2 linked regions of the Sus scrofa genome follow. The protein of the gene in region 2 interacts with the protein of the main gene of each other region in a pairwise test. Links are inferred from orthologs where the notes say so. Each region holds a gene or a part of one and is shown on either strand. Other genes may lie near its edges.

What was found.
Region 1: the proteins of TFIP11 (region 2) and ZSCAN12 interact in binary tests that used the Homo sapiens proteins (3 or more experiments, as listed by UniProt). The two-hybrid records come from large-scale screens. The link is inferred for Sus scrofa from reciprocal best matches to the Homo sapiens genes TFIP11 and ZSCAN12.

Annotation. Positions count from the first base shown.
Region 1 is NC_010449.5:22,202,531-22,206,183, forward strand, and holds part of ZSCAN12 (zinc finger and SCAN domain-containing protein 12), read right to left. Parts: intron 343-3,653; coding exon 198-342; intron 1-197. UniProt on the Homo sapiens protein: May be involved in transcriptional regulation.
Region 2 is NC_010456.5:44,102,650-44,106,302, reverse strand, and holds part of TFIP11 (tuftelin-interacting protein 11), read left to right. Parts: intron 1-225; coding exon 226-382; intron 383-1,708; coding exon 1,709-1,836; intron 1,837-2,264; coding exon 2,265-2,417; intron 2,418-3,653. UniProt on the Homo sapiens protein: Involved in pre-mRNA splicing, specifically in spliceosome disassembly during late-stage splicing events. Intron turnover seems to proceed through reactions in two lariat-intron associated complexes termed Intron Large (IL) and Intron Small (IS).

The sequences.
Region 1 (3,653 bases), on a different chromosome or scaffold from region 2:
GGAAAATATTAATATAAAGAGAAAAACAGAGTTGGAGAATGACAACCTAGGCTGCCTGAGGTCTACGCATGAGCTGTCAGATTCCTGGAGACTGTCTTGACTTTGATAATCAGAAACAGCATGAAGTACAAAAAAGCCCCAGTGTCCTGTGTTAGCTGCATCTTCCCTTCCTCCCAAGATGGGTCTTTCCTCTTTACCTTGCTCCTGCTGGGCTTCAAGGTCCGGAGATTCACACTTTAGCTGGACTTTCACGGATGGGAGAGACATACCGGGTTCTTGTTCTGATCCTAGAGGTGCCACCTCCTGCAAGAACATTTCCTGTTCCTCAGTGTGAACTGAGACCTGAGGTAAATGAGATACAGCTGAGAGACTCACTCTGATAACATTAAACGAAAGAGTATGCTATTCATGGCAGCAGTACCCAGCTCACTGAAACTTGAAATTAACTTCTTTGCAGACATCAGTCAGCCAATGTAAGTATCACCTCCTCTGGGCTAACTTCCCTTCCCCAGCTGGAATTCCCCCCACTCCTTTTTTTTTTTTTTTTTTTTTTGTCTTTTTGCCATTTCTTGGGCCACTCCTGCAGCATACACTGGGATCCCAGCCACCTCTGCAACCTATACCACAGCTCACTGCAACGCCAGATCCTTAACCCACTGAGCAAGGCCAGGGATCAAACACACAACCTCATGGTTCCTAGTCGGATTCGTTAACCACTGCGCTACGACGGGAACTCCCCCCTAGTCCTTTTTTAAAAAAGCTTATGGCCACACCTGGGCACATGGAAGTTCCCGGGCCAGGGTATTGAATCTGAGCCATAGCTGTGGCAACACCAGAACCTTTAACCCACTGCTCCAGTTCTAGGGATGGAACCTGGGCCTTACTGAGCAGAACCTCTGCATGCAGTCAGATTCTTAAGTCATTGTGCCACCTGGTGGAGGAATGACCAACTCCCCACTATTCTTTTTTTTCTTTTTTAAAGGGCCAGTGTGGTATATGGAAATTCCCAGGCCAGGGGTAGAATCAGAGCTGTGGGCACAGGCCTACACCACAGCAACTCAGGATCTGAGCCTCGCCTGCAACCTACACCACAGCTCACAGCACCACCAGATTCTTAACCTACTGAGCAAGGCCAGGAGTGGAACCCGTGTCCTCATGGATACTCGTCAAGTTCATTACCACTGAGCCACATCAGGAGCTCCCTCCTCCTCTAAATAGGTAAAATATGTCGGCTGTGCCACCTTCATTTCTTTGTCTATGCTCAAAGAATTGGAGAAGGAAAGAAGAGAAAGAAAAAAGGTAAAAAGAGACAGGAGGGGGAAAAAGTGGGAAATAAAACAAGTGAGAAATAAGGAAAAGGGATAAGAAAAGTGAAATACTGGAGAGAAACTGTGAAGAAAGGCAGAAGGGAACAAAGGAGAAAGAGGAAGGAAACAGAGAAGAAGAAGCAAGAAGAAAGAGGAAAGGAAAAGGAGAGAAATCTCTTCCATATTCTCTCCAGAAGCTGTTCCTAAGGTCTCCACTCCTTTCTGGGAAGGTGATCTTATTTTTTATTTATCCAAAATCATGATCACCTCAAAAATCATCTCCTATTCACTTTATCTCCACTCTCATACTCTTCCTCCCTTTTAACTCAGAGAAAGATGTGTTTTCTTTTTCGAGGTTCACATCTCTACTTTTGCCTTAAATCCTATCCCTTTCTGCTTCCCTCTGACCCTTGCTACTTCAATCAGCAATTTCAGCCATTCTGTAGCTTCCATTCTTCCACGGGCCCATTCTCGCTTGGCTTTAAAAATAGTAGGTTTCCCCAGCACAGTTGTCATAAAAAGCAGGGCTCTGGAATCACTCTAATTCCTTTCTCTGTTTCTTGGTTTAGTAGCTCGGTGACCTTGGGTGAGTTACTTGCTCTGAGATTATACATCATATATGTAAAGCACTTTCCATAGGGCCTTGCATATGACAGGCCCTTAAATTACTTCCCTCATCCCCTTCAATGGCTAAATTTTATAACTCAGAAATCACCACATACTGGCTCTATTTCCCTGACAGTTTCATTTTGTGATCTCTCAAAATACGAGGCGAAAGGCAGCAGAATACTATCCTCAAATGTACAGAAAAAGATGTTTTGATACTTCAAATTTGGGTTAGGGAGGCACGAAAAACAGGCAGTCCAGTGAACTGTCTTCTATCTCTGGATCCCTAGCTAGGCTGCATAGGTCAAGCAGTAAGCTCCATTAGTGCCCCCAGCAAGCCTCATGGGAAAGGAGTGCTTGGCAACACTCAACAGGTCTAAAACCAAACATACTCAACATGTCAAAACCAAATGCTTTTGCCTCTGAGAACCCCGTTGTTTTTTCTCCTGGGCCAGGGATTAGACTCGTACCACAGGAGTGACAGCACCTGATCCCCCAAACGCTGGGCCACCAGGGAACTCCTGAGAATCCCATTCTTTCGTTTCTCTTCCGATCTCCCTGGCTACTCCTCAGCTTCCACTGCTGATTAATCCCTTGATGATCCCCTATTGTCTCATGGTTTAAATATCATCCATATCTTTTCTAATTTTCTATTTTTTTTCTTTCTTTTTTTTGGGGGGGGGGAGCATACCTCCAGCATATGGAAATTCCCAGGTTAGGGGCTAAATAGGAGGTGCAGCTGCTGACCTAAAACCACAACTACAGCAGTGCCAGATTCGAGCTGCATCTGCAGCTTGCAGCAATGCCAGATCCTTAACCAACTGAGCGAGGTCAGGGATTGAACCTGCAACCTCATGGATACTAGTCAGGTTCTTAACCCGCTGAGCCACAACAGGAACTCCCCCAATTTTATATTTCGAGCACAGATTCCTCCCATTGCATCCCAACTTGTTATAGCCAGTTGCTTGCTCACATTTTCCACTTGGATTCTAATGAGAATCTCAAAATTAACTCATCCAAGGCTTAATTCTGGATTCTTGTCTCTCTCCTCCAAACCTATTTCTCTCCCAATTTTCACCATCTCAGTGAATGACAAACCCATTCCACCAGATGTTCAGACCAAAAACCTTGGCATAATCTTTAATTCACTTTCTCTTATATCCCACAACCTATAAAAAAAAAAAATTCCTCTGAAGCTCTACCTTCAAAATATATACAAAATCCAATCACATCTCACCACTTCCACTGCTACTGCTACTATGCTAGTCCAAGCCAGGATGCGCTTATAGCCATAGCCTTCTGGTCTCCCTGCTTCTGCTTTTGACCCCTATGTCTCCCCTACTCTACTCCACTCCCCCAACCCCCCCATCCCCACCACCACCAGCACCAGTGTAGAATGTTCCCAACACAATAAGTAGCTAGAGTGATGTTAAAATTTAAGTCAGATTAAATCTCTCTTCCCCTCATCTCTCCAGTGACTTTCCATCTCAGAACAAAATCCAAATTCCTCACAATGGCCTACAAGTCCGTTGTTGGTTTGAGCTCCATATAACTATTTGATTTTATCCTTTACTTGATAAATGCATCTCTATCATGAAAAGCGCATTTGAATCTTAAAGACCTATCCATTAACAATTTCCTCTGTCTGAACACTCTTATCCTATGGCTGCGTGGCTTGCTCTTTTAATTCAGATCTCCGTTCTAAATGTCACCCTATCTGAAAAGCCTTCCCTGATTAGT
Region 2 (3,653 bases):
CGGCGGCATTGTGTGGGTCTCCCTGTGGTAGTGCATCTCCCTGAGGGGTGATGTGTGCAGTGCAGTCTCTTCTATTCCCTAAGATGCATCAGAGGTAGGTTTGATTGGTGAGATATTTTTCATAATGCTCTGTGACTGCCAGGTCATGCTCCCATCAGCTAAGCTTGCTTTATTACGTTTTCCTTCTTTTTCTATTAACTAAACTTTGATTTTTCTCCTTTTCAGGGTGGTAACTTTAAACCCAGTCAGAAAGGTTTTGCAGGAGGAACCAAGTCGTTCATGGATTTTGGCAGCTGGGAAAGACACACAAAAGGAATTGGACAGAAGCTGCTTCAGAAGATGGGCTATGTCCCTGGAAGGGGCCTTGGGAAGAATGCACAAGGTGTGGCAGTCCCACCCCACAGTCTTGCACTTGCTGTCAGGCAGAGGTGGGAAGAGCAGGGAGGGCAGTGGCCTCCTCTTTTCTGCTTTTTCACTGTTCGGAGGGCTGGGACCCTGCAGCCTGTTCTGCCAGCACAGATGCTGTGCTCTATGCTTCATGCTTTATCAGAACTCAAGTTACATAAAATACTTGTTTCGGCAGGAGGGAGAGGTTAGGGTTTAAATCAGGCTGACAGGCTGAGAACAGGCTTCTTTCTAGCCTGCCCGGTGTTTCTAAAAAATCAAACTGGTTGCCAATATTTAAAAAGCAGACAGTTTCACTTCCATTCTAGAGTTGCCTGGCAGTGACTGGTTTAGCTGAGTCCTTGCTGTCCCAGTCAGCACCCAAGGCCTTCTCCTGGAAGCTGCCTCCACACTCCCCTTTTACTCCAGCCCACTTTCCCTGTTCATATTAATGTTCCTGGACCCTAAAGGCATATGAGTTTGGACTCTTGCTCATGCGGGGGCAGGACAGGTAACTATTTTTTAGTTTTGCAAAAAGCCAGTTACCTGTCCTTCAGGAATATCAGTAAAACATCAGGTGTTGCCTTTTGTTTTACAACACTCACCAGTGGGATGTCATCAGTAGTATTCTCTGTAATTCAGATTCAGCCCCTAGGTATTATAAAGTTAGATATGGATTGTGGGTTGAAAACATCAGCCGTATGAAGAATCCATGGACTTGAGTGGCAATGGCATGGGAGTGAGGGAAGTGTGCTAATTGGGATTTCAACAGTACTAGCTGGAAGGGGCCTGGTAGGAAGTCTGGGGTGTGGCAGTTCTTCACTGAAATGCAGTCCTGTTTGTAAACTTTTACAAGAAAAATACTTATTTTCCAGGCTTAAACTTGTTATAGCTCATAGGAGATATGAACTCCTAAGTAAAATAGGTGGAGTTTCATATTAAATGGCAGCTTCACCTTACTTCAGTCAGAATCAATATAATATCTGAATTAATGGGCTTCCAAATGAGCAGAGTATAGAATCTAATTTGCCTGAGATCCCAGTTATAAAATATTCCTGTCCACTAAAAAAAAACCAACAAGTCCAAGTAGAAATGGAAGTCTGTATTTAGGATACAAACAATATCAGCACACTGTTTTGTGGCAGCACACACGCTCAGAAGCTTCTGGCCACACAGGAGCCAAACGGTGTCGTGAGGGCAGAAGCATGTTTCCTTCCTGGGTAGCATGTTACTGTGTGTGAGGACCAGGAGTGTGGTCTCCCTGAGTGGCTCACTCACAAGAACTGCTGTGATCTGAAGTCTGTCTTTTGCTGCAACTTGCCAGGTATCATTAACCCAATTGAAGCCAAGCAGAGAAAGGGGAAAGGCGCGGTGGGGGCGTATGGCTCAGAGCGCACCACCCAGTCCCTGCAGGACTTCCCCGTGGTTGACTCTGAGGAAGAAGCTGAGGAGGTGAGTCAGGAGATGGGCTGGATTCTGTCTCTGCCTCTTGGGACTGTTGTTTGCTCATTTGTTCACTCGGCCAGTGTTTAGAGGTCGCTTGCACAGCAGGTGCCAGACACTGCTGAAGGCTGGTGTCCTGCCGTGACCAGGCGTGGAGCCTGGTGGACAGGGAGCAGTAAAAAAGTAACCACGGTGTGGTTAGAAAGAGCAGTTGTGCCAGGAAGTACTCAGAAGAAAGTAGGTTGGCTATGTGGGGAAGGGGTCTGAGCCTCAGTATTTGTAAGGCAGGGAGTGGGCATCAAGCAGTGTCTTTGGATGGTCTTAGTGTTATGGAGGGACGGTGCTTAGCATGGTGTTCTGAAAGCCTCAGTGTCCCCACTTGCGGGAAAAAGTGGCCCTTTCTTGTTGTGATGGACTATGTTATATTCTTGATTCAGGAATTTCAGAAGGAGCTGAGCCAGTGGAGGAAAGACCCCAGCGGAAGCAAGAAGAAGCCCAAATACTCTTACAAGACAGTGGAAGAGTTAAAAGCCAAGGGCAGAATTAGCAAGAAGCTCTCTGCTCCCCAGAAAGAGATTTCTCAGGTCAAGGTATGGGGGGCCCATGGACACCTGGTCCAGGATGGAGGCTTGCAAGACACACACACAGTTAACCACAGCAGCATCAGTCACCCAACACTTGCTCATAAGGTTCCTGTGGGTCTTCTGGGCAGGCTTTCTTGTGTGTCCTGCTTTCTTGCGTGGCAGTAGCCTCTGCCCATTTCCTGCACTCCCATTTAGGCTCATTGTTGTTCCTACCCTGTGCCAGGTGCTCTTCACTACACTACAGTGCTAAATCCAGCACTCCAGCTCTGCAGCTTGCTGTCCGTGAATTCAGTGATGTTCGTGGTATTCTGTTGCTTCATCTTTAACTTTTGTGGTTTTGTTGAGAGCAGGTTAGCCTTATCTTTGTGGGGTTTTTTGTTTTGGTCTTTTGTCTTTTTAGGACCGCACCCACGGCATACGGAAGTTCCCAGGCTAGGGATCTAATTGGAGCTGTAACAGCTGGCCTACGCCAGAGCCACAGCAACACCAGATCGAGCCGCGTCTGCAACCTACACCACAGCTCACAGCAACGCTGGACCCTTAACCCATTGAGCGAGGCCAGGGATTGAACCTGCAACCTCATAGTTCCTAGTCACATTCATTTCTGCTGCGCCAAGATGGGAACTCCTGTTTTAGACTTTTTAAAATGATAGATTCCTAGAAGTACAGTCACCAGGTTAGAGAATAGGAAGGTTGCTCTCACTCACTGTGACCAGGAGTGGGCCCTCAGCCTTGAACTTAACATTAGACTTTTAGCCTCTGTTCTGTCCATGCAGTCTCTGCGTTCTCCCTCACTGTCCCAAGTAGCCAGAGAACTGTGGTGACAGGTATCTCTTGTAGTTTGTCGTAGGAGATTGTGTGTGTCATGGAACCCAAAGTCTGGAGTGGGGTTCTCAAAGGTCAAGGTGTTGTGTATCAGGTTATTTGGGGACCTGGTAGGAAATGCAGATATTTAAGATACAGCTGGAGGTTTTGCCTCAGAGATCTGGCTGGGCCCGAGGGCTCATGCTTGTTATCTTTCCCCAGGTGATGCTAACTTATATACTCTAAAGTGGTGGCGGTACTTCTGTTACTGTATAGACATGATCACATCTCCTCAGTCTTCTTCAGACATTGAAATTAGCTCATCTCCTTGGGTGCCTTTGTGGGTTTTGTATGTTTCATGTTATTTTAAAATTAAAAAAAAAAAAAGCTATTACAGAGCAACATGCAATACATTTTAGAAAATTAGGAAATACAGAG